5 linked regions of the Oryzias latipes genome follow. The protein of the gene in region 1 interacts with the protein of each later gene in a pairwise test. Links are inferred from orthologs where the notes say so. Each region holds a gene or a part of one and is shown in the gene's direction. Other genes may lie near its edges.

Region 1 (5,799 bases):
ACTAAGCACTCTGAGGCGTTGGAATCGGAAAACCAAAACCTACGTGATGCTTTCCAGACCGGCAATTGTTGATGCATACAACAGGTTCACTGGAGGCATTCACCTTTCTTGGTACACTATCTGCACTGTACAAGTTCAGCCTCAGATCCAGAAGGTGGTACATCTACATTTGGTGGCACACGGTTACATTGGCGGTAATCAATGGGTGGATCCGCTACAGAAGAGACCTGGAGAAACTGCAGCCCCGGCAGGAACCCTTACCCCTGCGGATATTTCAGGCTTCTGTTGGTACTGCGCTCACAAGCGCAGGAAAGGTCAGAAAAAGTGCTGGACCACTGTCCTCTCCAGATACAACACTGGCCCCTCCCCGCAAGAAGAAAACCACTGAGGTACCCCCTGATGTGAGAAAGGACGGCCTGGATCATTTCCCAACGTGGGAACTCCGGCAGAGATGCAAGTGCTGCTCAGGCCACTTAACCCACGTGTACTGTCAGAAATGCGGAGTGCATCTTTGTTTGTTTGTTAGATTATGGGTGTGAGGGGTTGTAAACTAGTGGGAGGGCACAACAGAGACCTCAAGGTTACGGGTGACAGGAAGGGGGGCTGGGATTGCTCTGGGCCAAAGTTCCAACCCAAAACTTCGGGGGTATATTCTAATGAACTCCTGCCCCGCTGCATAATAACCGCAGTGCTAAAAACAACACAACGGTAATCATAATGAAAAAATCCACTGGAAGTACTTTGAAAATAGATCAAAAGAGGATCGTGGTGGGTCTTTAACACCAGAGCTGTAATGTTTTAACGGTTTACACGACTAAGGTAATTCCAGCATATTCTGAAGCTGAGAAAAGCAGCTTTCTGCTGATGTTCAATACTTTACGGTAGTAAGGCGTAAACTTTACAGTAGCAAGGTCTTTACGCAGTTGACGTAAACCAGCTCATTGTGATGTGCAGAAAAAAGCCCCATCAGAATTAGAATTAAAATCAGAATTAGAATCAAAATCCCATTATTTGTGCCAGTGGTTGCATAGTTAGGGTAGTTCAGTGCTTCTCAAATAGTGGGGCGCGCCCCCAGGGGGGGGCACGAAGCGATGCCAGGGGGGGCGCGCGGTGGTGGCGGTTTTAGGCACAGGTTTGTCCGGTGCGCAAATTTAACGTGGGGGCAGCGGTGACAGCGGCTCAGTGCTTGGAAAATAATCTGGTCCACTATTCGGTTCCTATTGTCTGTTCTGTCTGTCCGCGGCTGCGCGAGTGAGAACGAAAGGGGAGGGGTGGTGTGGGCCCTGTCTGCCAGGGGAAACGGGGCACGCGGACCACTGCTACCGCTGCCTGTTGCCCAAGATCACCGCTGCCCTTAGATTCCTAAGCTCATGCTAACAATGTCATTCTTTATGAACTATTGTAGACATTTTGATGACGTGTCTTTATTTTCCATCCATGTTTTCTTTGTCTGCCTGTGGTTTAGTTGGTGTCAGACAGACATAAAGACAGCAGGTAATGCAGGAAAACAGCTGCACTTTTATGAGATCAGAAATAAACAATCCGTCATTTAGAAAAAAAAAATCAGCACGTTTTTACCTATTTCTTCAGACTAAAAACGTTAAATATATTGGTGCTGCTGTGTTAATGTTTCAGATCAATTTAGATTTAATATTATTTATTGATTGAATTATTTTTTTCAGCATCAAATGGTTAAGTTGGTCAAAATGTTTCTAGTTTAAATAAGGAATGACAGATTTTTTTTTTATTTCAGGTACTTTCAGCTTCTTTTCTGTTTTAGACTAGAACAGGGTTTCTGTGGCTAAATAAAGTTAATATTTGTTGAAAGTGGATTTATTTTGCTTTTTTCTTTTGTTAGTGTTAAAAGATACAATTTTAGGTATACAAATTTTATAGATACTGACCTGATGTATTGTCACCGCGCGAGTGTGTCTGTGTGTGTGTGTGTGTGTGGGGGGGGGGGGGGTTATGGGGGGGGGGGGGGGGTCAGGGGGGGCGCGAAACATTTTCTTTTCCTAGGGGGGACCTGGCAAAAAATAATTGAGAAGCACTGGGGTAGTTCAAAGATTGTTTGTTGTTTAGCTGTTGACGGTGACAGCTTCGGTTTTAAAGGGTTAATGGTTACTGATATAAGAAGCAACTTTGAGGCAACTTCAGTCTTGGTTTATTTTTACCAGCTCTCTTCCATGAAATGGGGGGGGGGGGGGGGGGGGGATAGACAAAAAGTGTTTCAAACTGGTAAAATCCACTTATTGCAACCTACAGTATCTGTACTTTTTACTAACTACCCCTTTGTAGTTCTTTGGACTATTTTTAAGTCACAACAGTGACGACTCTTCCTCATCAAATGTCCATGATATCCCCTGAGCTGCGGAAACGGAGAGGAGTCCAATTCCTTCTTTGATTCATTCTTTAAACCTGAATGCGACTGCCGTGCAGGTGATGGGTCTGCGCCGCCAGAAGAACTACGCCGGACGCTGGGACGTCCTCATACAGCAGGCCACCCAATGCCTGAACAGGCTGATCGAGATCGCCGCCCGCAAGAGGCGCAACTACATCCTGGATCAGGTACTGCTGCTCCTCCTCCTCCTGCCTTCTCATTCTCACCACAGTCAGTCAATGTGCCCTGATGATCACTTTCTCTCTAATGGACTATTTATTTATCTTTCAGGGGGTCTCTGTGTATTATAGAGTAGAAGAAGCATTGATCAGCCTCTTGTCACTTGCTTTGTCATGCTTTTGTAACAGAAAATACGTAATGGCTCTCATAAGTGACAGAATATGTCGTGTTTTCACCCTTCAGTACATTTGCACCTTATTTCTTGTCATACTACAGTATTGTTTGTCTTGTGAAATTTCAACAATGTACAAGTAAACCATGACTTTGTAGAGATGTTGAGAAACAAGTAATCTCTGGTGAGTAAGAAAAACACCTTCTGTTGCTAATCTAATAAGACAGAGTCCATAGCTTCTTTAAGCTATTTTGAAGTGAGATACTTGGAACTGTTGAGTGTGTGTTTTATTTTGTTAAATTGATGCTGGAGGTAAGTGGCGACTAACGACGTTCAGGTTTTCAGGTTCTTGCTCTTGGCTGCGAGGATGAAGGTAGGTCGGTCTGATGGTTCTGAGGCTTTCTTGAGGACTCTGTGAGTACAGGCAGGTGGGTTGTTTCTGTCTGTCCTTGTCTGAAACGGGACCAGAGCTCTCATCAAGACCAGGTGAGTCACGGTAAGAGGGGGGACCCGTTAGAGGAACAGAAACATAAACGGGGTTTAGAAGAGGCGAGTCTCCGTCTTTATCTGCACAGTTAAAGCGAGCGTTCGAATCGTTTCGTCAGAGTTCTACTCGGCTTTGTGTTCTCGCTGTTCTCCGGAGCATTTTGTGTCCTGAAGAAGTTTTTTTCTGTGAAAGCGGTAGAAGACGAACAGGCTGCGGCTTTTCTGGATCGGAGTCAGCAAACCTGGAAAGGCTCGCTATAAAAACGGAAGCGGGAATCTTGGCAAACGTTGTTTTTCACGGTGAGATGTTTGGGAAGCTGAGCTTCAAAGCGATGGTTTCTGCGTTGGGGCCAGCCGCCGTCTCCGTCACGTTTGCCTTCTGCGTCGGGACGATGATCAGCTCGGGTTTCTGTGAACCGCCACGTTTCTGAGCCGAAGCTATTATGGGGGAAAAAGTTCAATTTCGAGTTCTGATTAAACATTTTGCTTTTTTTCCTGAGTTTAACGTGTTTTGTGACTGGATTTCATCACATGATGTAAATTGAAGCTAAAAGGATTAATAAAGCTAAAAATTTGATTAATTTTATGTTTTAGTTTGAGTGTTTTTATTTTTGTGGGCAACAAGAAGTCCAAGATTTAAATTATTGTGCCTTTGCTCTGCCTAGCTAAAGGTGCATTGTGGGTAAAATCAACAGGACTTTGCTCAGTCTGGTCAGTAATTGTTGTACAAGTGGAAAGTTAAAGCGTTTGTGACTCCTCGCTGACATCTAGTGGTTAAGGGAAAAACTGAAGATCTGCTTTTTCTCTGAGGTAAATGTTGTTTTCAACATGTTAGAAAGGACGAATATGAAGAAAACTAAGCTTAAAATTGCATTTCTGCTTTGTTTATTTATTCAAATTGTTGCAAATCAGGAGCAGATGGAAAAGTCCCGTTTGAAAAAAGTCGTTTATTGGATAGAAAGTACGCTGGGCGGGGCCACACGCTTCCTTCTGATGCCTCCACTGTCAGACAAACGGATCCATGAGCGTCTTCGTCAGAACTGGGCGGCTGCGTAGCTCAGATATTACTCGCCGTTTTTTTGCACCGCTGATGATACATCGGGGCTGTAAGTTAGAGGGAGAGCGTGTAAACGGAGAGCTCTTTAATATCAGGTGAATTTCTAATGAACTCTTGCCGCTTTGCAGAAACTATGTCCAAAAAAACAACTCAGGTGTGTTGATATTAGCTACAAGTGGCATCAAGACCACTGAGACACTTTGAAAATAGATAGGAAGATGATCGGACTTGGACTGAAATGAGCAAAGCCCGGAAAAGGCTGAGAAATCGACTTTAGCCGTGGCCTTCATGCCGGGCTTTGCTGCGTCTCTGCAGTTTAATCCCGCCGTTGTCGTCAGGAACTGTGACTTCTTAGTGTGATAGGTCTTCACCCGACAAACTCAAAGCGATGTTTCTGCCGTGTTAGCATGGAAGGAGCAAACTCAGCAGCTTTTCGGCGACCTTCGGGGAACCTTCTGTTCTCCATTTCTCACCCGAGCGCAGATCTTCAGGCAGGATCTGGTAAAAACCCGTTCTCCTCGTGACGCCTTCGTTTGTGCAGATCCTTGTTGGTCGGCCCTTTGAGGCGAACGCCGCCGTGCTGCGTAGTTGTTGCGGGTGGGGTCCCTCCTTCTTTCACTAACATCCAACAGCAGTCTCCGGGCGGCGGCGAGCAGAGCGCGAGGTAAAACCTGTGGGTGATGAGAGGCTCGTGAAAAAACCCTAGACTGCCATCCAAGCCAAACCTCTCTCACTTGACTATTGCAGGGTTCCAGCTTGCTCCCAGTGGAAAGCCATTACAAGTAAACAATAACAAACAAGCTTCTACTTCTTTCTTGTCGCCATTGCTAGACAAATGTATATGGATCAGCAAGGAGACGAAAAATGCGTCCTTTTGAAGGTTTTCAACGCAAGGCTATTGTAATTTGTCCCACGGACGAGGATTTTAAAGAACGAACATTAAAGCAAACCAATGAGCAGGGGAAGGATGTGCCCGATCATGCTGTGTTAGAAATGAAAGGTAGGAACGCTGTGGAAGCAACCAATAAAACACCAGATCTACTTTTGACTTTTTTTTCTGTGTTGTCTCTTTAAAAAAAATTTTAAAAAAAAAATCTACCTTGGAAGATGTTCCCCCTCCCCCCTCCCCTCCCCACCATCATAGCCTTTTTTTCTTTTTTTTTTGGTCAGATTATCAGACCTGGAATTATTTTTGTTTTAAACATCCCCACATAAATTTTTTTTTTTTGCCCGTTACCTGCCGCTTTCCGTTTAACCCCCCCACCCCCACCCCCGAAGAAGCACTGCAAACCAAGCCGGGTTCAGGCCCGATTGGCGTTTAAGCCCTCGCCTCCAGGAAAGAACCTTCCTGTGTTATTTTTTTTTTGGGAACCGTTCTTGGTCTGCAGTGCTGTCCCTGCTCCCCCTCGAGCTCTTAGTTGCCCCCCCTCCTCTACTGAAGCCCCCCTCCCTCCTTCCCTCTCTGTGTCTGCTTAAACAAATGTCTCCTCCATGCTCCCTGGAGGCGACCTTTGTTCTCTCCTC
Region 2 (6,505 bases), on another chromosome or scaffold:
CCATATTAACAGTGCCATAATCGCGGACGTTTCATGTTCGACGTTGATTTACGTGTTCTTTGGTGGTTTATCCGTACTTCTTCTGTGGTTTTAACGTGGTTCATTTGTGATACATCTGTGAAAATGTCACATAAAGACCACGACTTTTCTCTCTTTTTCCATGTAGGTTAACGTATGACCAATTTTCTTTTATCCAATATGCGCAAAAGTAAGTAGTGGCTGTGTGACACGACCTTAGGAAGAGTGACGTAGGTGAGGTGCAGGCAGGTCATACGGCTTACAGGAGCTCACCCACTATTGGCGACTTAAAGTTAAGAGCACCTGTTAGGACCGGCGTTTATTTAGATTGGCGTCAATTAAAGACCGGCCACTATTGGAAGATGTACGGTAAGCATTGTACTGGCATCCTACCGCACTTATTGTATTTTCCGCAGTATAGGGCGCACCGGTAATGAATGGTCTGTTTTCGAACTTTTGCAATATATAAGGCGCACCGAAGACAAAAAAGTCAGAGATAAGGCCGTCAATCTGTCAGACTCAAGACGTTCGTAACTCGATACACATTAGCCACATTAAAAGAGTTATTCCCATTACAATAACACGCAACGTTGTTTTCAACACATAAAAAACAGACTGAAACCGCTAAAACAGACATTACTGTGACTACGCTAACTCCCAACCTTGTTAGAAACGCACCAAAACCGCTACATGTTAGCTGCGTTAGCATATTCACACTAAACCATAACCAAATATTTTGACAGAGTGCCGCGTACCTATCAAAATTGCTTCGACATCAATAATCGCTACCAGAATCAATAGAAGGCCCTATTTTGAAAAAAAATATTGATGCTTTTAGGTCCACCACATAGTGCAGAAAATATGGTACTTATCCCGTGTACACCGTGTGTGCAGCATTTGTGTGCAGTCAATAAAGAGCTAGTATTCGCAACTTGCTCATGACAAGAGTGCAGCGTTAGGGCACCGTATGACGCACCACCTACATGTCATGTATGTGTAACTTCACTAAACTCCTACAACACCCATAATAATAGTACATTCCCTTTCACGACGTCCTTCTCTACAACCCTCCATGGTCCTGGACAACCTAAAAACAGCCGTACAGTTTTAACCGTACAGGTGAACGCAGGACTAAGGCTTTACTGATGCCTGCAGCAGCTGCTCAGGTTTAACAAGAATTAGATGGTAATCTGTCATCATGTTCCTTTTGTCTATTGTAGACTTCATTGTATGTGGTGAGAACACCAGCAGCCGAATGTATGCTCTGTGTCACCGACAGAAGGACCTACAATGCTGCTCTGGTATGGATTGTGTTTGAAATGTAGATGGATCAGGATTCAGTGTTGGTTAGAGGTACAATAAGAAGGTTAGAAAAAGGAGTTTGGAAAGTTTCTGAGCTGCTTTTCCTTTTTTGGTTTGAGATACCACAACTTTACATTGAGAAAATAAAATACAACCTCATAACACTTGTTGAAAAGTAAAAATCTTTATAGTTAGGCACCCTATAAACATGAAGGCAGTTGATCCGGTGGTCTTTTGAAGACGCTTGTGAATGCAGTTTATTGGACTGTCTCTACTTAAAAGATCAGTCTGGATTTAGGCAAATTAAACAGCAGGAGGGCTGGCATTTGTGCAGCACAATAAAAGTTTAGGAATTGGCAACATAAAATAACAGAAAATTATCCAAAAGACTGAGATTAAAGTCTACCATTTGGAATTGTGTTATGTTGATACAACTTTAAGAAAATAGGTAGTATTTGATTGTAAAACCTTTCAAAAACATCTTAATTAAAACTTTTTGGCCTTTACACTTCTTACATAATGGATCTGTAATTTGCTCAGTTACTTGAAACATTTGAAAGATTTCTAATGAGACTTAAAAGGAATGAACAGTTTGACTGAAATAAAAATTTGTTTTTTTCTGCTAAGTCTGTGACTCAAGTTGGATTAGTCAAAAGACTTTTTTCCTTTTTCTTTTCGTTTGATTATTATTATTATTATTTTTAGAAACAATGATTGCAATATCATAAGAGCCATCAAAAAATGATCTGAACATCTTTTTTATTAAGCTTTTGGAGACTTTGACCTATGTGTGTCCTTTTTGTTTCTTACTTTTCTAAATGAGCAGCCATTTTTAGCTCTTAATGTTCATTTTTTTTTAATGTAAAAGTCTCAGCTCTGTACACAAATGCATTTCACTTATGTTATTATTGATCAAGGCTTTTTTAACCCATTTTTATATATGCATTTATAAAATGAAAACATTGGCTTTTTGTGTTTTGAACTTTGTTGCATGACATGCTTTTTTATTTTATTTTGATACAGTATTGTTTTATAAAAATGGTTTTATTATGCCCAAATTGTATTTTGTATGAACAATTTGTATTCCATGTTTATACTTTTAGTAGATTTATATAAAAATGTATATAAATATGTAATAAATTGGTCCGTACAAAGTTTTGAACTTTATCTGGTCTTGTGTTTTTATTGTTCGATGCTATTAAAAAAATAATCTAAAACGAAGCAAAGATATTGTATTTTATTTTTTGAAAGAGGAGTTCATTTTATATTATAACTTCCGGTTTGCTGAACAGGAAGAGGCGGAGCTTCCTACATGAACGCTTCTGGTGCGTTGGTCATTCAACATGGCCGCGGGACCAATTTCTGAAAGAAACCAAGGTAATTTACGGAATTATTACCCATTTCTTTTGACATTTAGCCGTGCATAAATGTATGTAATGTGTAGTAACACCCAACAAGGGCACATTTTTCCTCATAGAGCGAATATGGATCCTAAAATTAGCTAATATTCTTCTGTTGAAACCGGGTAAACACATGGAGTGAAGCGGCTTTAGCCTAGCTTGTAGCTAATAAAGCCATTCTCCCAATTAATCGTTTATCGAATTTGCACTTTAGATGCACGTCCTTTTATATAAGCATTAAGCTGTGAAAAAACGTATACTCATTTCCATTGTTGCAAATCTATAAATAGAAAGAGAAAAAGCAATATTTTATGCCAGGAACTAATACTAAACAACTGCAACTTCTTTCATAATTTAACTTCAGTTCATTGACCTCATTTTATTCTTACCAGGCAGCATGATCATTAAATTTTTCACAGTTTCAACAATGGTTTTAAAAAGAACTAATGAAACTTTAAGTGAACATAAATATGGTCATTTCTTTTTGTAATTCGTATTCATTAACTTGTGTCAGAAAGTGGAAACCTTTGTAGTGTTTTACTCACCAAGCCTGCTCTTGTCTGTCCAGATGCCACGGTGTATGTCGGTGGGTTGGATGAGAAAGTGTCGGAGCCGTTGCTATGGGAACTCTTCCTGCAGGCTGGTCCTGTGGTAAACACGCACATGCCCAAAGACAGGGTCACGGGTCAACATCAGGGTGAGTGCACTTTCAGTTGGTCAACAAGATTGAACAATTATCTTCTTAGAAAATTATCTTTACAAAATTGTTTTTCTTTATTTAGGTTATGGCTTTGTGGAATTCCTCAGCGAAGAGGATGCTGATTATGCTATTAAAATAATGAATATGATCAAGCTCTATGGAAAACCCATTCGAGTCAATAAGGCCTCGGCACACAACAAAAACCTGGATGTGGGTGCGAACATCTTCATCGGTAACCTGGACCCAGAAATCGATGAGAAACTGCTCTACGACACATTCAGTGCCTTCGGTGTGATTCTCCAAACACCAAAGATCATGAGAGACCCAGACACCGGCAACTCCAAGGGTTACGCTTTTATCAACTTTGCCAGTTTTGATGCTTCTGATGCCGCCATCGAGGCCATGAATGGCCAGTACCTCTGTAACCGGCCCATCACTGTGTCGTACGCCTTCAAGAAAGATTCTAAAGGGGAGCGCCACGGCTCCGCCGCAGAGCGACTCCTGGCGGCGCAGAATCCGCTGTCCCAGGCGGACAGGCCCCACCAGCTGTTCGCTGATGCCCCACCACCTCCCTCTCTTCCCACCCCGGTCCTGACCACACTAGGAGCTGGAATGGGTATTCCGGGCATGGGAGGTGGGTGTTACGTCACATTTATGTGAAAATAGTTTTGTTTTTTTAAAGACTCGCTTTTATGAACATTGTCTTTTTGATGTATTTTTGTGGCATTTTTCTGATGATAGAGACAAAGAAAATGTAGCTCAAACTTGCATTTGACTGCAAACTGCAAAAATTAAAAACTGGATTTAAATCTGAAGCAGACAAAAAAAAAGGATTTTTCTGTAGTTTTACATAACTACTGCCATTCCGCAGAAACTATGTTCTAGAAAACAACACAGGATCTTTTGATTTTGGCTAAAAATGGCATCATCACCATCATCATTTTCATAAAAGACCGCTTTGAAAAAAGATCAAAGGATGATCAGTGTGGGACTTGTGTTTTGTGTTAGCCTAAACAAGTGTTTTTACAGATACAAATTAGCAATTAGCTGCAAAAATACAAACAAATGTACCCACAAGTCCTTCAAGTAGATTGTGTTGATTTGTGTGTGCAGGTCTGCCACCTCCTGGTGCCTTTCCCCCTGTTCCTCCCCCCGGATCACTCCCTCCTTCCATGGCCCATGGCATGGGGATGCCTCCATCAGCAGGTGGCCCACAGGGTATTGGCGGTCCAGGTGGACCACCACCCTTCCCGCCTGGAAGTATGCATCCAGGTGAGACATTGTGACTTCTTAAGAGTGGTTTTTGTCTTTCTGTCGGAGGAAATACAGAGGTTTTGAGCCTCAGAGCCGCGTTTACTTTGTTTGGCATCCGCATAAACATCTGAAAGTCAAAGCCTGTTCTCGTTTTAGTATCTAGTTTTTCTTCCCGCCACCTCCAGTTTGATCCGTTTCTGTCACTCAGGTATGCCTCAGATGCCCATGCACCCTCCCGCTCCGCCTGGCATGGTTCCACCTCCTCCTGCTCCACCAGGATCATCCCAACGCGCCCCGCCCCCCAACCTCCCCCCACCCCCGCCTATGGGCATGCCGCCCAGAGCACCATATGGACCCCCCATGGGTGAGTGTTATGACGCCTCTTCATGTCTCTGTCAAATAGAAAAAACACCTGAAAGGAAAAACGGCGTTGAAGGAAGTGTCAGAGTTGGCAGGATTTGGCAGAGACGCTCTGAAAGTGATGTAATGGGGGTTTGGTAAGGAACCAGGTCCGCCAATCATCTCAGTCACTGACTTACATTTATGAAATCACCTGTGCTTGTAGCATCCTAATATTTGAGTTGTTGATAAAGTAAAACTTCAAACAAATACCTACCTTTTCAAACTAAACTTGCTAATGAATTATTGTCAGCTGAATTAAGGATATCCTGATCAGATTCAGAGTCGTTTGGTTTTTAGTTTTGATTTGATCATTTTAGACTTAAACAGAGCACTTCAGTGAATAAGTTTGAACAATCGAGTAAAAATAGTGCAGCTTGGCCGTGGACCTCGTCTCGCGCCCCTAGCTGTCCCCCAGTTCTATCTGGATGAGGCCCGTCTGCTGGACTATTTAAACATCTAGTTGTAGATTTAGATAAGCTAATTCTTCTCTAGGAGTTCTGGTACGTCGCCTGTCCGTCCTGGCGAGAATCCCTACTTCATGTTGACACCCCTGCAGACTTTTAGCATAGTCGTTTTTGATCATAATTAGAATACAAGACATATAAGTTCTCTGATCCGGAAATAAAATCCGATTCACGCGATTCAGCTCCGCACATCCCTGGACAGATTTGCTAGTTTTAAAGCAGTAAATGGTTTTACAGCAGGGATGTGGATGAGTATTTTGAAAGAGGAGTGGCTGACATGTGGTCAGAGATGTATAAAGTTTAAAAAGTCCTTCTTACTTTACTGCAGTGGATTCAATTATTTTAGCTGCTCTAAAAATACTTAACTTTTTTACTTAATAAATGAGATGCTAATTCGGATCCATCTAAAGCATGGGTGTCATACTCATTTACACCGAGGGCCACATCTGCATAGCGGCTGTCCTCAAAGGGCCAGATATAACTTATACATGTAACTAAATGTAATGAAAAATAAATGTAACTACTCCTTAATGTTAAATAACTCATTATTTACTATAAATTTTTAAAGTGACAATTACAGTTGCATAGAAAACATGTTTGCTTGTTTTTCCAGCATAAATCCTTTTAAATTTGATTCTGTCAGGTTAGGTTATATGGACAGTGTTTAAGTCCTAATGTATAGTTGCCCTGTCTACACCATTTTTTTTATTTTATTTTAAGAAATTAAAAACTTTTATGATCTCGCGGGCCACATAAAATGACATGGAGGGCCACATTTGGCCCCCGGGCCTTGAGTTTGACACATGATCTAAAGGAACCCTTCAAACATAATCTGTTCCAAACTTTGGTCTCATTTCTTTTTCAACTGTGACTAAAATCAGTACAGTGACCTAATGACCTACGGCTTTAGTTTGACTTCGGCCTGGGCGAAAAATCGATTGAATCGATTCGAAATTTTTGTTACG
Region 3 (6,304 bases), on another chromosome or scaffold:
AAAAATATATTAGGTAAATATAGTACTATCAGCTTTACCTGAGAATCAACTGAGGTTTTTAAATGTTTCATTTCATGTGTTTGTTGTTGTTGTTTGTCCTTAAAGCCTTGGATACGTTTATTGTTTTAACTAATAAATATTTGTATATTTTTCTATTGGTGTCTTGTTTATTTTCTTTGCAGTATTAAAAAAAGATACGCATATTTTGAACTCTGATATGTAGAATATACACAACTGGAATTGATCACAAGATCCAAGACACTTCACTAGGAATATTAATTATTAAAATATAAACATTCTATATAGAATACAAAAGATCAGAATAAAACTTTATTTATCATTAACGTGCAAATTACCATAGATCTATTTAAAAGAGCAGATAGAAAATAAACAGCACTAAAAATATACAGTAAAAAATAATGACAACAGTAAATTCAAATCTCATAATGGGTAAAACTACACATAGTTCTAATGTCACATTTATGGAGCTTGATTTAAGGCATTTAGTGTTTCTGCAAGAATACAAATGAAATACAAAAAGACAGTTTGATTTTTGTTTTATATCATAATTCTAAATGTTGAAGGTAAAAACAAAAAAATTGTGACTCGAGTACGACTGACATTGAATTTCTCACCTTTGTTGTTCTGATTCTTTTCTCGATTAATAGCATGATGAAAAAAAATTGTGTCACTTTTATATTTAATTAAAATAACAAAAAAACTTGAACGCATTTATCATGCAACAAAACTTTTAAAATCTGTTTCTTTTTTGTTTAATTTTCTTTAATTTTATTTTTTTTACAAACTTTATTGAATGTAACAATTCAATACACAACAATGCAAAACAGCAACAAGAAAAGAAACAAACCAGGGGATTATTATTATATTTTACATAAAAACATTGAAACTGACGCGCAGATGGAATGTTTTAATGGCTTTCTTATTGTCAGAGTTTCTTAGTATGTCAATGTATTGTTTGACAAAGACAGAAAAATGAGGGGTATGATGTGTAACTTTGGATTTATAAATGTTCCATTTGCAGAAAAAAAATAAAAGTTTAATGATGTATAATTGTTCTTTTTTATGAGATGGACAGTGGGTGAGGCCAAACATAACATGTTCTAAGTACAGGTGAAAGTCTGGGTCAATGTGGGTGGAAATGAAATTAAAAACTTTAGATCATAGAGTAGTGGAAAAGGGACATGACCAAAATAAATGTACAGCATCTTCAGGGTGTTCTTGACCAAAAGAACAGGTTACATCAATATCTTCTTTGAACCTTTGCAGATATAGTTTGGATGGGTAAAATTTATGGACTAATTTAAATGAGATTTCTTTCACTTTATTGGTTAAAAAGTATTTGGGAATGGATACAACATCCTTCTGAAAGAGTGAGTGTATGCAGCGATTTGTGTTACATGAAGAAGAAAAACAAATTTGGCCTATTTCTAATTTAGTTAGGCCAATTGGTAACAGAGTTGGACTCCACAATGATGAGCTTTTGAATAACGTAGTTATACACTTAGGAATTGCTTTCAAAACAATGTTAAACTCCGTTTTAGGTAATTTGATGCAATATTTGAGGCAGAGTTTTTCATGTGACATTAAAGATCCGTTTGATTTAAACAGTTGATGAACCAGAAGGATGTTTTGAGTAAACCAAGATGGATAAAATAAGGATTTATGTCTATCTGATGTCTTTGCTGTTCCATATCTGTGTGGAGAAAAAATGTGTTTGTAAATGAGTGACCAGGAAGGTAAGATTTGTTTATGGAAGCAGGAAAGCTTTATTGGGATCTTTACCACATTATAGTAACAAAATAAAAGAAAGTTTATGGCTCCCAATTTGGAGAAAATGTGTTTAATTTTCTTTAGCTTACAAATGTAGACATTTCCGGGAACCAGGAAGTCGCATAGTGACGTCATACCAGGAAGTGTAGCCAGTACCAGCGCTACCCCGAGTTGCACATCTTTTCTTTTTTTTCTTTTTTACTACTTTTTTATTTATTTAACATTTTAACACCGATTTGTATTCAATGTAGTTTGATTAAAATAGGCTGCTACGCTGATGGATCGAAAGAACTTTGTGGATATGGACACAAAGAAAGAGGAGGATGCGTCTCCTGAAGAGTGGGTCGCGCTGTGTGACTTTACAGGAAGCGGCTCTGAGCAGGTTAGAGAACCCGCAGGCGTCAGCCTCGCATCTGAGCACCCGCAGCCCTGAATAACCTCCCCTCTCTCGCCCCGCAGCTGAGTTTCTACACAGGAGACAGGCTGCTTGTCCTCTCCAAGTCTTCTGCAGACTGGTGGTGGGCGGAGCTGCAGGGGGTCACGGGTTATGCTCCGGCCAGATACCTGCGCGAGGACACCGCCGATGAGGAAGAGGATGCTTCTATAGAGGACCCGTGGCAGGATGAAGAATACTATGGAAGCTACGGGACACTGGTTAGATATGTGAACGTGTTTTGTAAACATAATAGTTACTTTTTGTTTACTCTAATAGACTTTCCCTCAAAAAGGCTTTAATATTATTTATAACAAAGAGTACAGCATTAATTAAAAATAATCAAATTAGACAAACATCCCAGCTAATTTAGGATAAAACAGTTTTTACTTCAGCTGATGGAAATCAGAAGAGGTTAAATTATTTTTGTAACAAATGTCTCTTTGCTAGTGAAACTTAACTAAAGAAAGCATTATATAAAAATATAGTGTCTTTTAATGGAAAAAAATGGTTAAAGGCATGAACTTGAAAGTTTATATTTAAGTGTTAAAACAAAAATCTCAATTAAGTTTTTGTGTTTTTCTTTGAAATTCATCATCAAAGCTTGCTAAGTATCTTAAGACTAGGGGTCTGCAACCTGGGGCTCCGGAGCCACATGTGGCTCTTTTACCCCTCCATTGTGGCTCTTTTACCCCTCCATTGTGGCTCTTTTACCCCTCCATTGTGGCTCTCTGGTTAAAGAAAAATTACAAGTTTTTATTTTTCAAAAAGTAAGTAGAAAAGTTTAAAAAAATAGTTGACAGTCTCACAAGTCAAACTAAAACATTATGACAGAAATGTGTGTTCTATTGAAAATGAATTTGAGGTAAGTAATCACAATCAGAATTAAGGTGCACCAGGATTAATTATGATTTTTAAAGGGTTACTTAATTAGCTCTGATTTAATATTTGTTAATTAGGTCTACAAATTTTTGACTGTGATGCCCCACTAACAGTAAAATAATCTTTTTTTTTCAAATCACCGCTTACATAACACTTCCTACTGCTACATTTGCTGCATTGAGATGATCTTTTGTGACACATGGGGTATCTTACTTTGAAAGGGAGTCATACGAAACTTTGTCAAAAGTTAGAAATTGTTTCTTATTTTCAAAAAAAGGCTATTTTTTCATTTTATTTCATTTATTCCAAAAAACAGGAGTTTATTTTTAAAAATCATAATAGTGATGATAACATAAATGCAAATGTGGTTCTTACTCTTGTAAAGATTGAAATAACACTTTGGGTTGTCGTCAGTAAAAAATTGACCTGAATGGCTCTTTAAGTGTCAAAGGTTGCAGACCTCTGGGTTAGACAAAGAAATACATCAGGGGAAAGTAATCTAAGTTATTTATCTTCCTGCTCCTCTCATCTTATATCTTTATATTATTTAGGTTTTACACTCACTTTATGAATTATTTATTTGTTTACACAAATTCAATACATTTAGTATTCATACATTAACATATCCAACTAAACCGATCCCCTACTTTGGGTATCTTGCAATGTCTGACGATATCAAACGGCAAAGTCAATCAAAACAGCAAATCATCAGCTTTATCTAAATTTTTAAAGTGTTTTAACATAATTAAAATTGAAAAAAGTGATGGATGTTAAAAGCTAAACTTAATAAAACATATTTAATAAATACCGTAGTTCAATAAAAACAGCTCATGCCACAAATAAAATCCATAGGCAATCTAAACCTTTACAAAGACTGCAATCAGACCAAATAATGTTTTGTACAATTATGCTGCCTTTGCTCAGAGAGAAAAATAAATCTTACAAAAATGGTCAACAAATTGCCTTCCCAAACAAACCACAGCTGAGACCCACCCTGTCTATCTATCAAGCAGGAAATGCAGCTGATCTGGTGGATTTTTAAACACAGCTTGTTTGCATCCCTAACATTATTATAAAAAAAATGGTCCCATTTAAATAGATGCAGTTCTTTGCAGCAGGCTTGAGCTATTAACTCGAGTCTGACTTACTGCTGCCATATAAAGTTGCTGTGTCCACCTATGCTAGCCCACTTTGTGAAAACACTGAACCTTTCTCTCCATCTTTTCCTCGAAGGAATAGTGAAGGCCCAGCTGATCAACAGCAAGCAGGACAGGTGTGGTTGAAAAAGCAAGCAGGGCGGGGACTCTTTAGAACCAGGATTGGACATGAACATCTCTCTATTATTCACTTATTTAATATGTTTCAGAAGCTTCACCTGGAGATGCTGTCCGACCGGAGCCGCACTGAAACGTACAGACAGGTCATTGTCAGTAACAGCGCCTCCCTGAGGAACAAGGTGGTGATGGACCTCGGCTGTGGGACGGGCATCATCAGCATGTTCTGTGCTCAGCTGGCGAAACCCTCAGCGGTAATGTTAATAGGATGTCACATACAGTCAGATACATATGTATTCCACCACACTGCACTCTAAATATACCTTATGTAATATACGGCAAACACTTTTTTTGCATGAATATAATGCACACTCTGCTTCATTTACAGAGAAGCAAACAAGTACTGGTGGAATATTACCAATCAAAGTGAACTATTATTTCTATCTACATGGGAGGGAGGAGACTTTGTTAGGTTCTAAATATTGTAGAAAATGTACTGTTAGTTGGTTCAGATTTTATGTAATTCATACAACATACAATATATTAGACCAACATCTGTTTTGTTGTTAATTTTTTTACTAAATTCATTTAAAGAAGGACAACTTTATCCTAAAATGAGAACACTACTAATATCATGCTATTCTAAAATTGTTCTTAAACTTCTGTCCTAAAAGACTAAACACTAAAATAAGTCATAAAATCCTAAAAAAAAGAACAGTTCCTGAGATAATTGTGGTAATACTCCCATCTGCTGGTGAAGAACTTGCATGGACAGTTTGATCATGTTGGAAGCTGTTGTGTGTTTTCTAGGTGTATGCTGTGGAGGCGAGCTCCATGGCAGACTACACCGGACAGCTGGTGAAGCACAACGGCTGTGAGGACGTGGTGACGGTGATGAAGGGACGAGCCGAGGAGCTGGAGCTGCCCGAGCAGGTGGACGTCCTGGTGTCTGAGTGGATGGGGAACTGCCTCCTGGTAAAATGAACACCTTTAGTGCTGTCAGCGAACAGTTTTTTAGATTTCTGTGACGATGCCCGTCGTGTGTTTCGTCATCCAAGCTTGATGATGCTTGGTGTACACAGCAACTGTCTGGATTTGTTCCTTTTCTTGGCTCTAGTTTGAGTTCATGGTGGAGTCGGTTCTGGTTGCCAGGGACCGCTGGCTCAAAGATGGAGGTGTAATGTGGCCCTCCTCGGCAGCCCTCACTCTAGTTCCATGTCAGGCCAGAAGCTACTACGCAGAGAAAATGTCCTTCTGGGAGCGGCCCTATGGCCTGGACTTCACACCTCTTCAGTAAGAGTTTTGTGTCTGCTGTTGACTCCAAACTACACGGTGTCATAGTTAAAGACCCACTCCAATGAAAATAGTGTTTTTAACATGTTATTGTGGCGTCAAACTGATCATGCAGGGCACATTTAAAGAAAATTAAGCTCAAAACTGCAGTTTTTGAGTATTTTATTATTCAAACTGTTGCGAATCAGGAGGCAATAAAAAAAATGCTGTCTCAAAAAGAACTAATTTGTTAAGTAGAAAATACAGTTTGCAATTCACAAACTCCATTCTGATGCCTCCACTAGACAAATAGATCCATGAACGTCTTTGTTTTCCTCATCTGAGCTGGCATTTGGCTCAAAACCGTACAGCTGGATAGCTCCAATGTTGGTCGCCATTTTTGTTGCGTCTGTAATGTTAGGTCGGGGTTGTGAGGGGCTGTAAGCCAGCGGGAGAGCATGTTAATAATGAGCTCAGATATGAGTGATGGGAAGGGGGGTAGGGTCTCTCCCTACCAGCAGTCCCGCTCAAAACTCAGAGACTAATTTCAAATGTTTTTGTTTTTTTTCATTTTTGGCTAAAAACAGCATACGGTACTGATGATTTAAAGCCCGCTGTCTTTTACAACAGATCAAAAGATGATCGACTGTTT
Region 4 (6,598 bases), on another chromosome or scaffold:
CAAGTTGTTTAATCAAACCTGGACTTTGACAAACACACAGCAGCACAATTGCATGGCACCAACGGATTTGAAATAAATCCTCCATCTGCCCTCTTGTAATTCTACTGAGCCACAAAATAAAACATTATTTGTTTTCCTAAAAAAAGTGTTGCAATCGACAGTAACAGCTTGTCTATCTGGCAGCGATCTGATCCATTTACTGTTTTTATCTCACTCAGAAAGCAAAGAAAGTGCTGCTTTTTGTCCACGCTTGTGGTGAAAATACATTTTTATGTAAACAGACTTTACTCATACAACCTTTGGCAAATTTTCAGACAAAACTCTGAACTTTGTTGATTTGTAAAAACACTAATTTTGGTGTTCTGGTATGACTAGAATACTAATAACATGCGCCTCATATTGTCTCCAATCATCCACTTCAACCTGTCTGAATGACGACAAACCACTTAAGATGGAAGAATGTATTTTAACAGATGGCAGCGTTCTCAAATATATGACTTCATCCATCTTCAAAGAGGAAAAGCAGGCAGCAGGAGCTCACAAGAGCAGAGAACTATGTCAAATTTTTGCCATCGAAAATATTTATCTCTGAGCCAGGCAGTCTGCCACTGTTTTGTGTGCTGGGAATAAATTGTCTCAGAATTGTTATTTTTAAAGTGTGAAAAGTGACTGTATAAAGCAGTTATATAGTTTTAGACATTTATTATCTTTTGACTTTTAATGTGTTTAACCTTTGTGCTATCTTAGATGACCCCACCCTTACATTGACGTGTTATCCCTACCATAACAAAGGTGGATAAAGGTGGAAAGATTTCATGTAATCCATGGACACCAGTGAAGATCACAAATCATTGAAGAAAAAAGGTTCAGCGCACTGTCTAGTGGGTCTAAATGACCCAACTCCCAATGTTAAAGTGCCTAGGATAGCACAAGGGTTGCTGAGTGAGGAATTTTGAAAAAGACAAACCAGGGGATATTATTTAAACTAAATGGTCTGGAATCACTAACTATTGCAAAAAGAAAGGAGAGAAAATAGCATGTCTTTATCAATCAACAGCTTTATGAGTTGCATGTGATGGTTGCAATCTCGCAAGAAATTGCACCAGAAATAGTTTTTCTTTTAAGCCCTATCACTAAATGGATGTGCTGATGGAACACAGAGGGAATACAGTTTTGTGAACATATTGTATAATGTCTGCAGAACTGGGTAAACTTATAGATGAAGCAGGATGCACAATATTTTTGAGCTATGTTGTCTGAGAACAACCACAAGGGGTTATAACAAGGACAAATGTAGTCTCACGGAGTTGGGAGGCAACAACACGCCGATCCATGCAAGCTGAGAATCACACTGTGTTAGCCCTTATTTATGGATTTCTTTTATTTTGTTCTACATTTTAAAATGTGCAAAACATTAAAAAAAGCTAGGTTCTTAGTGAAATATTCAGCTTTAAACCAAGACTATGAGATGCTTTTTTCCCCTAAATAAACTAAATGTTTAAACCTATGTCTCTTCATTCTTACGGGGCAACTTGAATAACAGACTCTAAATGTGATGTGCTTTGTTGGTAGCTCATGTGGCTATGCTTGACAGGAAGCCAATTGTCAGATGAGACTGCAGTGCCTGCAAGGCAGGTCAGCAGGATGCTGGACTCAAAACTCACTGCCTCAAAATGGCCTGCAGCAAACATTGACCAACTCATATATTGTGAATCAATAGCACAGACAAAGATGAGGTACTGGCGAACTGGGTTAGGACTAGATCATAAGCACTCAGTGGCTCAGGCGGTTGAGCAGGTCGGCCAATGATCGAAGGGTCGGCGTTTTGATCCCTGCTCCCCCCGGTCAACTATCGTTGTGTCCTTGGGCAAGACACTTCACCCTCCCCGCCTCCAGTGTGGTTCCACTGGTGTGTGAATTCGTATGAATGCCCCGGTGATGGTCAAAGGGACCATAGGCGCATACTGGCAGCCACGCCTCTGTCAGTCTGCCCCAGGGCAGCTGTGGCTACATCAGTAGTTACCATCACCAAGTGTGAATGAGGAGAGAATGAATAATAAACATGTTGTAAGGGTTTTGAGCGTCTGGAAAAGCGCAGATGAATCCAATACAATACTATTTTTCTTATAAATATAGTGTTTTTAATGTTTATTTGGAAAGTGGGAATTAGTTGAGCCCTGGTTTAGACATCTAATCAACCTAATTGTCAAGAAACAGAAAAACGACAGGTGAAATGTAGTATCAATAATTAACCCCATGCTTAAAGCAAAGCAAAAGAAAATATTTGATAAATGTATCTTTAACTGATTCATTTGTTATTGTTATTTTTTATTTCAGCTACTCCAAATTCTACATGATGTTTAATCAAAAAACAGCTCTTTCCGTTTTTGTGTAAGGCAACCAGCATTACACTCAAGTATAGTCATCTTTACCCGACTCATTTTCAATGTACCTAGTAAAGAATAAAGATAATGAAATCCCTTATAAGACTATTCTTGGCATAATTAACAGCCTTTTAGTGGCATTTCTTCTGCCCTATTTTGGCAAAATATCCTTTTCAGATTTCTAAATTGGTTGAGGTTACATTAGATGTTGAGCAGGTCTGGTAATTGTCAAGAAAAGAGTGAACACATTTTATACCATTTACAATCATATGGACATATGAGTTATTTCATAATAATATGTGTGATGTTTTAAGTGAAACATTTGACTCAAAAGTTACATTGAGCCACACTCTTTTATTTGCCCTACTTTTAATTTGTTATATAGTTCGTTTGTGTTGTGTTTTTTTCCCTTTGAAACTCATAAATCTGGAATTCTTCTCCCCTCATCCCCGTTGATGCGCATGTCTGCGCACATTTAGCGCAAACTAACGCCACTGAGCTACAAACTTTGACCTCTTTGCGCCGGAAGCAACGTCGACCAATCGTATCGCTCTTTGTTGGGAGGTGCTGATGCTCACATTTGTCGAAGGCTCATTGAGACAACATGGTAAGTATCGTTGCTTCAAGTGCTAGTTTTTGTTTTCATGTTATATGCTAAATGCATTTTGTGGCTTTAAATTCACTACTTCTTGAAGGTTATTTTAAAGCTTATTTTACTATAGAGGGGCTAGACGTTTCAACAAAACCGCGACGTTAGCTTTTTTGTTAGCATTTAGCCGAGTTAGCGTCATGTCATCGACTATCACCATGAGAAGAAACACTAATAAGGAAAGAATAAACTCCCAATTGTAAAATGAATTTTGTTCTGTCAGTGTGGCAGTAGATAATTTATGCATTTTATGTAAAGGTGGTTTGGTGTAAAGGTCACAATCGCTGCCTCTCTTACTCTTCTTAGCCAGAGCATAGACCTAGCCCGTGTCCTCCTCGTTATAACAATCATTAACTGATGCTTAAGAATTGAAGGAAGGGTAATTAAGAATAGGGACAGACTTTTTATATTTCATGATAATCCATCTATCTACACGAGATACTTTTTTATTGACCAAAATTATGTATTTTTACACTTTTGTACCTATATGTTTATTTGTGAAATTACAGTTAACCTAAACGATAACTATAACTTGCTCACTTTAAAAAAATGTATTATTTATAAACGTTTTAAATGGATTTCCTTAAAATAAATTGTCTGTGGTAGTTTAAGACTATTTTGGGGGAAAAACATCTTGACAATGAATAACTAGATTGTTTTTCCTGCGGATATACATTTAATTGTGCATGTAATTTGAATTGATTAAAGTTGTAGATGTTCTATTTTAACGTGTTAGATAAAGAAAAACAATACAGGCCAAGTTCCAAAAAGTTAGAACTAGAAGTACTGTTCAACTAAAGTTTAAATGTTTACAAATGGTTAAAATGTTATATTTGTCAGTAAAAATCAGCTTCAGGTGTCACAGCTCAACAGGAGTATGACTAGCATTTGAGTTCAATGCATTGTTACATAGTTGAAAAGTATTAACAGTCTGTGAAAAGCAACTTGAAAGCTAAAAAAAAAAAAACTTTAAAGTTGGAATTCTGCCTCTGTCTCAAAAATTGTGGGGAAGGGTAGTTAAAGCAACTGCTCTATACAAATCTAAACATATATTATTTTGATCAAAATTATTTTCGTTGAAGCTTTTATGTCCACTTAGAGTAGAAAGATATGGTAAATGGATCATTTCTATTGCAAAAAGTATGCTAAAGTGAATCATTTCCCTCCACTAACTATAATAGAAAAAAAACATCTTATTTGTAAAGTAACGAAAATACTAAAAGTAGATTAAAAAAAACTTGCCTAAAATAGAGCAAAATTTTCCCACTCATGCTGTAAATGTTTTGCTTTTTAACAAAATCCCACTAAAGTATGTTGTAGATACGAATGGATAAAACTGGTACACAGACGTAGTTGTTTGAATAAAACAATATTTTGTTTGTTATAACACCATCAAGCCGAAGAATTCTTACTTTCTTTTCTATCTTTTCTTAATTGGATTATTCTATATAAATACAATTCAAGTGGTAAATAGATCCAATGTCTTCAACTGTAAGTGATTTTAAACACAGATTGTTTAAATATATAATCACAATAAAGCAAATGAAATCAAACTTTATTTATAGAGCACTTTTTAATACTTTATTATTGCAAAGGTCTTCACACACAAAAAATCAAAGAGCCAATGCTGTTTTCATAAAAATAACATCAAACTAATAAAAACACAATGCTCTTAACTCCCTGATCCCATCACCTCCACATTAGAAAACATTAAAATGAGCATATATTTGAGAGTAGGAATAAAACCAAAGTGAGTATCTCTAAAGTAATTTAAATTAAAACTCTTGTTTTAACACGAATCCCCCCCCCTCCCCAAAGTCACATATTTATTAAGTGACATGTTTTTACTTTAGCCATCCATTAAGAACTGTTTCACTTTCCAGTGTTTTTTTTTCATTCCTGAATCTTTGGATTTTATTTACAGCCCCTTGTTTAACCATTTACCTGCTCAGTTTAGACTTTCTGGTTTAACTTGATGCCTTGTATTAAAAAAAAAAACACTTGAAAAAAGTGTTAAAAACAGCTGCAGAACTAACGGCTGAAAATATAAATGACTTCTGTAGATAAAACCTGATTTTTTATTATTACCTCTGACAACGTCTGGACCACCCCACCTAAAACTCCAACTTCTGTCATGAACGATGTCGTTGGTTTTGCTCCTTATTTTTCATGGGTATATTAGGGTGAAACTTAAAACCGCGCAAAAAAATTTCTGGCAGATCGTCTTAAAAACTCACAGTGGCTTGTTGCAACAGATTTTTTCTCATCTTTTTAATTTCTATCTCAGAATTGAAATGCTTGGAGGAACACAGAGTACAGTTTAGTTACTTCATTTGTTGTCCCCCTGAAAAATCCATTGTATGACGTCAAATATTGCCTGTCTAGCCAGTCAGAGAACCTATTACATTTAAATTACTAATTTTAATTAGTTTAGCTTGGCTTTTAAAACTCCAGCTTCAAATGAAAGTCTAAACTGGTTTCAATTAGGATTTAGAACATTGAAGTGCACAGTAAATGTAAAATCCTAGCAATGAGATTTGTTTATTTAACACCATAATCACTTTCAATTTTTAAAATCCTATAAAATGCTGTTTTTGTAGGAATTCTGTCATGACTAGTTTAAACAAAATATATTTTTTAATATATCAGTAAATGTATCATCAAAATATTGGGATTGCTATTTTTTTATACTGATTGACTTTAAAATACTTATGCATGTTTTTATGAAAGGAATGATATTTGTCCTCATGTAATTACAATGCTAACTTTAAGTTAGTTTGTTTCTATACTGCTTTGCTTTAAATATTTTCTTTGGCAGGTCAATAAACTTGAGGATTTAGATTTATTGGTTTTTCCTAAATAATTGACTCTTAAGGGACTTTCCAAAAGTACAAGTTATGAGTTCTGACTGTGTTTTGTTTCTTTTTCTTAACAGTCTTCAACAGAAGCTAACAATGGTCCGAGCCAAGCACCAGCTTATCCGGCTGTACCACCCTCAACAATACCTCCTCCATATGTGAGTGATGGATAATTTTCAAAAATATGTTTTTGTCTTTTTTATTTCTCTGTTGTATTTGGAGTAAATAAGAATTATGTTTGTCTTTTTTTCTCTTTCGCTTCACCAGATGGGACCGCCAGGAATACCACCTCATTTTGCTCCGATGGGAATGCCCCCTATGGGTCAGCGACCTAGCATGACTCCTATGCCTCCTGGTATAATGCCCCCTGGCATAATGCCTCCTATGGCAGCCCCACCATTGGGACAGGTATGATTGTATGACATTTGTACCGCCCATGCAGCTTCTTCTGCAATGTGTTGCAAGAAGTTGGATGCCGTTATTTATTCATGTTATTCAGCTTATGGTTGCATTAATGCTGTGACTAAAGTTACATTTGAGAGCATAGCTTTGTAAAACTAAGATGCTAACAGAAATATAGTTAATGACGATAATAAATATCAAAAGATACAAATAGATTAATTAAATGAAAGCAAAGATTAAATCGACCTTGCCAGAAAAATTTCAAATGAACCATAAAAATCTGTATGTGAAGATGAATGCGATCT
Region 5 (5,799 bases), on another chromosome or scaffold:
TTCATAATCTCCATTCTATTTCTAACCTACCCTTCATCCCCAAAATACCTGAAAAAATTTGCCTCCGAACGTTACCATCATCTTAATCAAAACCATCTCTTTGAACCCTTTCAATCCGGTTTTTGCCCCCTTTATAGCACTGAAATTGCCCTGTTGAAAATCTCTAATGACCTTCTAGCAGCTGATTCTGGGCTCATCACCATCCCCATCCTACTTGACTTGACCGTGGCACTTGACACCATATCTCACTCCATCCTCCTTCAGACTTTCATCTCTTGACACCATTTTCTCTGATGTTCTTCAAGGTTCCCTTCTCTTCATTAACTGCCTCCTACCCCTTGGTAATATATTCCATAAATTCTACATAGATTTTCATTGTTTCGCCGATGATACTCAGCTCTATATGTCCAGTAACCCAACTCTTCTCTTCCACCTGCCTTAACCTGCCTGCCTTAACAGCGATACAACTGAGGCATAAAGGCTTATTTAGAATATTCAAAATATGTTTTGTTGTTTGTTGTGCTGATTTTAAAATTGTTCATCTTTATTAGTTTTAGTTTTTGCGTTTACCTATTGTCTAATGCAGTCGTGTCAGTCACATATTTAAAGGCTATTGAAAACCGTCCATAGTAGTTTAGGAAATTCTCTGTTGTGCGTCTTTAACTGTAAGTTTCGTGTAATAAGAGGTTGTATTGTAAAGTTTTATTTTTTTTAATGTGTTTTCCCCCCCTCTTTTTTTAGCTGAAAATATTTTAATTCTGGTCTTTAATCTGAACCCTTCTGACTGTGACTTTGCATCTCTTTAATTGGTGAAGTGTTCGTGATTCTGTCAGAATAAGGACTTGTTTGCATCATTGTGGTGTGATGTGTTTGTGTTTCAGAGATTCTTCAGTCTGACAGACCCAACCTGAGAAGGACGCAGAGTGAAGAGAGTGCATCTGCATCACACAGCAGGTGAGACTATCATATTAAAAGATGGATTAAAGTCACCAGCATGGGTGACGTCTAAAATAATAAATTTTATTGTGCGTTCATATACTCCTAAAAATAATACAGGTTTTGATATCTTGGATTTATTTTTGTAATTTTGCAGTACTATTAAAGTCTTAAATTCAATTCAATTTTATTTATATAGCCCAATATTACAACAGTCCCCTCAACGGGCTTCATATGGGTAGTTGTTTAATAAACGTGAAATCATAAAGAACATGAAGTCATAGAATTCAATAGGTAATGGCTAAGCTAAACACTAAACTAAACGGTGCCCTTAGACCCTCCTTCTCGGTAAGGAAAAAAAACCCAAAAAATGTCTGAGTCCAGGGAAAAAAAGAAGAAACTTCAGCAAATGTCCACATGAAGGGGGGATCCTCTCCCAGGACGTACAGGCGATGAACCAGAACTCTTGGAGAAGAATTATTTTATCTAACTCTACAACTACATGTTTGAATATTGCAACAGATGGGCTCCATCCAGATGGGGTTGGGGAAGGCTGAGGCTACAAGACGAGCCAGAGGCGGGGTCCACAGCCAAGTTTAGGAGCAGGCGTAGAGACAAGCCAGAGGCGGGTGCATGGCGGGTCAACCCCCCTCCCCATGCACCGTATGGGCACTTAAGTATTGGTATCGGCAAATATTGGCTGTCGGGCACAGTTGCAGAGGAAATATATGTTATAAGTATCGGAAGGAAAAAAATATATGGGCACATCCTTAGTGGTGGCTAAGGCTTTTGAGTTGGCTTTCTTTTTAAAAAGAAGTGCTATATCAGTAAAAGATCTCTTAAAATCTGGTTAATCTTAATCATTTTAAGATAACATGGATGAAATTTAAATTATTTTCGTCTTTAAATGTAGAACTGTTGGCTGTTATTTCAGGATCAACAATTAGCAGCTCGGCCTCTCATGACCTGATAGACTGACGTAAAACCTAACAGTGGAGGAGAGCTCTTCATCCTTCTGGTTTCAACACTCTGCAGACGTTTGTTTTTTACAATAAGGATAATGGTGTAATAATAAACTAGTGTAACCTCCTTCTAAAATACTGTTTGCAAGGCATCCAAATGAAAATAATGAACCTGGGATGTAATTCTATTCTAAATAAATTGAAGGAGGAGAAGAAAAGGACTGCAGTGCCAGTTTGTTTGACTGAAGAGCTTGAGCAGAGCGCCAGCAAACCATTCCCCACTGAGTGTGGTTTGAAGCGCTGCTCTCGCTGGCTAGAATGGTAGTGGGATAATAAATATTGAAAACAAACCTGCATTTATTTCAAAGCTTAGCTGCAGGAGTGCATGGGGTCAGATGGTATTCCCATAAAAAACACTGTGGGGGGCATTAAGCCCGGTTCAAGCGAGGGTCCGCACCGCTGTTGTCATGGAGAAGCGGTCAACATCTGTGTTGGAGAGATTAGAAGACTCAACAGCAGACACATTTTTCTCAGACAGCTCGGAGCTGGACGGCCACACGAAAACGGATTCGCTGGCACCAGACCGGCTTTTTGGTACGGCTGTTGCCTCTGTCTTCTGCTGCCTCTTATCCATTTTCTCTGGTCTTCTGGAAGCTGGTCCAACTGCAGCCGCAGCATTCCTCCATCCTGGAGAAAGAAAGCCAGCGTGTTTTTCTTCATGTGAAAGCTCCCGACTAAAGAGCAAAGTTATATTTAGCTCTGTGAAAATACCCAGCCGTGAAACGGGACCAACACCTCCTCCGCTTGTGCTGCTTTGATGCTGAGCACACTTGATCTTCTGCAGCACTGAGTCATGAAGCAGCAGAGCTCTGGGATGTCCGTTCCAAGCGAGTCAATGGAAGACAGGAATGGGAGGATCTGAACTGTGTTTTTGTTTCCTCCTTCTTATGTCTTCTCTGATTCATCGATTTTTGTTTGCAGGACCAACAGGCTCTCAGTGGGGGGTCTGCATGGCGAAACGACAGGGGGCTCCAGGGGGAGCTCTTTAACTAATGGGGAGCTGAGCGAGGAGCCGGGCTCTTGTGCTCGCCATCCACCCTTGAAGAGTCATGGCAGTCCTGGGGGCAGTGCTGGTAAATATTCTGCAGAACATGTGGACAACAATCAGCAGGTTTAGCTTCTTAGATGCTGTTTTTATGCTTTCTGGTGAACGCGCTCCATGAAATGAATATTATCTTCAAAGTCTATGAATTTGTTTCTTAGATGTTCCAATTGTTAAAGTTTAAAAACAGTTACCCGATTTTTTTTCTTTTCTCTTCAGATGTATGTTGTCGCACTGCAGCATAAGTCGTACTCTGGCAAAAAAAAGCAATGTTTTAAACAACTTTGCGTTTACGCTGAACAGGATGCATGTGTCAAATATGCATCCGTTGCTTATTTTTTGGTGCATGACAAATTTACTACTCAATGCTAGTCTAAACGTGTTTATAAACTACAGACTGCTGTTGCTGGGAGTTCTACAAGAACATCGGTAATCACGTCTCCATGTTTGGGTCCATAAAATCATTCGGAATCTGCAGCTCAACATTTACTGTAGGAGCTGCGTCTGAATGATGCTACTTTCAGCGGTACTTCCGTCTCTGTAACTCAGTCTGATGACTCGTCGTCCCACATTTTTGTTTGGGATGGTGTTTCTTCTTCTTTGTTGCCGTTAGTAATGACTGATATTCACACCCACAGTGCCCTCTAGTGATCGTTAGTGGGAACAACTGCTAAGTGGGAAAATAAAAAATTTATGAGCTAATATTTATTTTTTAAAATCACACAAGTCACACCCCTGGCCAAACTATGTAAAAAAAAAACATGACTTATACTCTGAAAAATATGGTAATTGTTGCAGAAAGCGTCAGATCCCATTGATACAGACCTGTTTCTTTGCAGTCAAACCTCCTTGTTCTCTTTGACCTCTGTTTGCTTCCCCCCCCCCCATAGATAAAGTGGAAGTCATGTCGAACGGGATGGAGAGCAGTTGTGGGGCCGTGGCCCGACAGACTCCTCCTCCTCCATCCTCTCCATCGGGCCGATCTCCTGCCGCCAGCAGCAGCGGAAGCCCGTCTCCGGGTCAGGAGGCCCAGGGTACAGCCGCCCCTGCAGAGCCCAGCCCCAACGCCACGTCCAACACAGAACAAAGCGGCACCAGCACCGCAGAGCCCAACACAGACTCACTACCGACTGGGTAAGAGCTGGGGCACTTTGTTGTCGCAGAGCCAAATGAAACTTTTGCCCCTGTGGGTAAATTCTATGCTAAAATATATAGAATAAAAAGAGTGTTTGAATAGTGCAACAGAAGTCATAAAGGAGACCATTCAGCTGATTAGACTATTTTGGTATTTTTTTCATGACTTCAGTCAGAGTTCCTTGTACAGCACTAAAAAAAAACATTTCCTTTTTGATTGTTTTGTATGTTTCAATAATGAAGTAGTTGTTCATGATTGAAGAACAAGAAAGAGTCTGGATTAAAATCCATGGGAGAGTTCAATGAAAATTATGCTGCTGAGCAAAAGCAACAGAAAGACTCATCTCCTGTTTGACCAAAACTTCACCAAAACTTAAAAAAAAAAGTTCTTTAGACTGATGAAACAAAAGACAGGCTCTCTCTGACATGTACATGTATTTTTATAAATGACCGTCACAGCGTTATTCTAGCAGGGGGGTAGTAGTGTGATAATGTTGGTGTCCTTTGAAGCTTCCGGATCTGAACTACTTGTAATCACTGAAAAGACAGAAATTCCGCCTTGTGTCAGAAAGACCTAAAGGAGAACAAACGACTAACAGTTGAGGAGAACTTTAGGAGAGCTGTGGTCCAAACACTGAAGCGTCTCTTAGGGGGCAAAAAGAATAAAGATCTATGACCTGAGAAAAAGGTGGCACAAACTTAAACAGCCTGTTACATGACACTGTGTTGCATTTAGCAGAGGCTTGAATACAAAGCGACTTGAAGGTTTCATGCAAATGAGCGTAATGTGAGTTTAGGTGTCCTTCTCAAAGACGAGATGAGTGTCAAAGCTGGTGTTTGAACCTCCAAAAAACCAACCTGCTGAACCTACGAACCTAAAGCCACATCTGTTTGTTCTGGAGAACCCAAATATGTCTGATTTCAGACAATTCCGCTAAGAAAAGTGAAGAATGACACGTATGTTAGAGACGCTTTAGCTCCGTGCCATTTACAGTTGTGACCGTTAAGGCTGGTAAAACCAACTACAGTGTTCCCTCTCGTTTGTCTTGTTCTAAAAAAAAACCTGCAATAGCAGATGAAATCCACGAAGTAGCATTGAAGATGTAAAAACTCCTCACTACATTTTATACACTTTCTCCCGACTGACATTAACACCTTCACACTTTTCTTTCTTTTTTAAACTCTCAAACTTCAAACATTCATAGAAAAATGAGTCCAGGATTATAGAATGAAAACAAAGATCTGATCGTGATGGAAGATTTATGCACAGAGATTGATTGACAGTGTCAACATTCAATCAGGCCGCAGAACACAATCTGCAAAAAATTATAAAAATAAAAAACCTTCAAAATTGTCATCTGTGAAACAGCAAGACTGTGAAAAGTCAATTGCTATATTGTGAGGGACCACCTTATTAAGGTTTAGAGGGAACATTCTCAGCTTTTATTGTGAAAGGACAGGCAGCAGAAGCTTCTGGTGCTGCTTAAACTGAAAATGTTTTTTCATGAATATGGTTTATATTCTGAGGACAGAAAGAAAGGAGGATCACACAGATCACTAAAGAGAAAACTGTTGTTCTCGTTGATTTAGTCTTGTTTTACTAAGTTAATGTAATATATTGGCTTTTTTATTAGTTAAGAGACAAAAAATGTTTTCTACATGTAG

Evidence for each region.
Region 2: the proteins of hnrnpul1 (region 1) and sf3b4 interact in binary tests that used the Homo sapiens proteins (3 or more experiments, as listed by UniProt). The link is inferred for Oryzias latipes from reciprocal best matches to the Homo sapiens genes HNRNPUL1 and SF3B4.
Region 3: the proteins of hnrnpul1 (region 1) and prmt2 interact in a two-hybrid assay, tested with the Homo sapiens proteins (2 studies listed by BioGRID and IntAct). The link is inferred for Oryzias latipes from reciprocal best matches to the Homo sapiens genes HNRNPUL1 and PRMT2.
Region 4: the proteins of hnrnpul1 (region 1) and prpf40a interact in a two-hybrid assay, tested with the Homo sapiens proteins (2 studies listed by BioGRID and IntAct). The link is inferred for Oryzias latipes from reciprocal best matches to the Homo sapiens genes HNRNPUL1 and PRPF40A.
Region 5: the proteins of hnrnpul1 (region 1) and wwp2 interact in binary tests that used the Homo sapiens proteins (3 or more experiments, as listed by UniProt). The link is inferred for Oryzias latipes from reciprocal best matches to the Homo sapiens genes HNRNPUL1 and WWP2.

The regions. Positions count from the first base shown.
Region 1 is NC_019871.2:3,015,959-3,021,757, forward strand, and holds part of hnrnpul1 (heterogeneous nuclear ribonucleoprotein U-like protein 1), read left to right. Parts: intron 1-2,439; coding exon 2,440-2,568; intron 2,569-5,106; coding exon 5,107-5,275; intron 5,276-5,799.
Region 2 is NC_019869.2:7,214,773-7,221,277, forward strand, and holds the start of sf3b4 (splicing factor 3B subunit 4), read left to right. Parts: upstream 1-2,603; 5' UTR 2,604-2,663; coding exon 2,664-2,697; intron 2,698-3,288; coding exon 3,289-3,417; intron 3,418-3,502; coding exon 3,503-4,054; intron 4,055-4,533; coding exon 4,534-4,692; intron 4,693-4,882; coding exon 4,883-5,038; intron 5,039-6,505. UniProt on the Homo sapiens protein: Component of the 17S U2 SnRNP complex of the spliceosome, a large ribonucleoprotein complex that removes introns from transcribed pre-mRNAs.
Region 3 is NC_019879.2:19,640,904-19,647,207, forward strand, and holds the start of prmt2 (protein arginine N-methyltransferase 2), read left to right. Parts: upstream 1-1,823; 5' UTR 1,824-2,068; coding exon 2,069-2,173; intron 2,174-2,250; coding exon 2,251-2,445; intron 2,446-4,472; coding exon 4,473-4,634; intron 4,635-5,190; coding exon 5,191-5,355; intron 5,356-5,497; coding exon 5,498-5,673; intron 5,674-6,304. UniProt on the Homo sapiens protein: Arginine methyltransferase that methylates the guanidino nitrogens of arginyl residues in proteins such as STAT3, FBL, histone H4. Acts as a coactivator (with NCOA2) of the androgen receptor (AR)-mediated transactivation.
Region 4 is NC_019879.2:20,298,086-20,304,683, reverse strand, and holds the start of prpf40a (pre-mRNA-processing factor 40 homolog A), read left to right. Parts: upstream 1-2,865; 5' UTR 2,866-2,988; coding exon 2,989-2,991; intron 2,992-5,968; coding exon 5,969-6,049; intron 6,050-6,158; coding exon 6,159-6,299; intron 6,300-6,598.
Region 5 is NC_019864.2:27,483,286-27,489,084, forward strand, and holds part of wwp2 (NEDD4-like E3 ubiquitin-protein ligase WWP2), read left to right. Parts: intron 1-881; coding exon 882-954; intron 955-1,168; exon of another isoform or gene 1,169-2,585; intron 2,586-2,669; exon of another isoform or gene 2,670-2,808; intron 2,809-2,879; coding exon 2,880-3,031; intron 3,032-3,890; coding exon 3,891-4,134; intron 4,135-5,799. UniProt on the Homo sapiens protein: E3 ubiquitin-protein ligase which accepts ubiquitin from an E2 ubiquitin-conjugating enzyme in the form of a thioester and then directly transfers the ubiquitin to targeted substrates.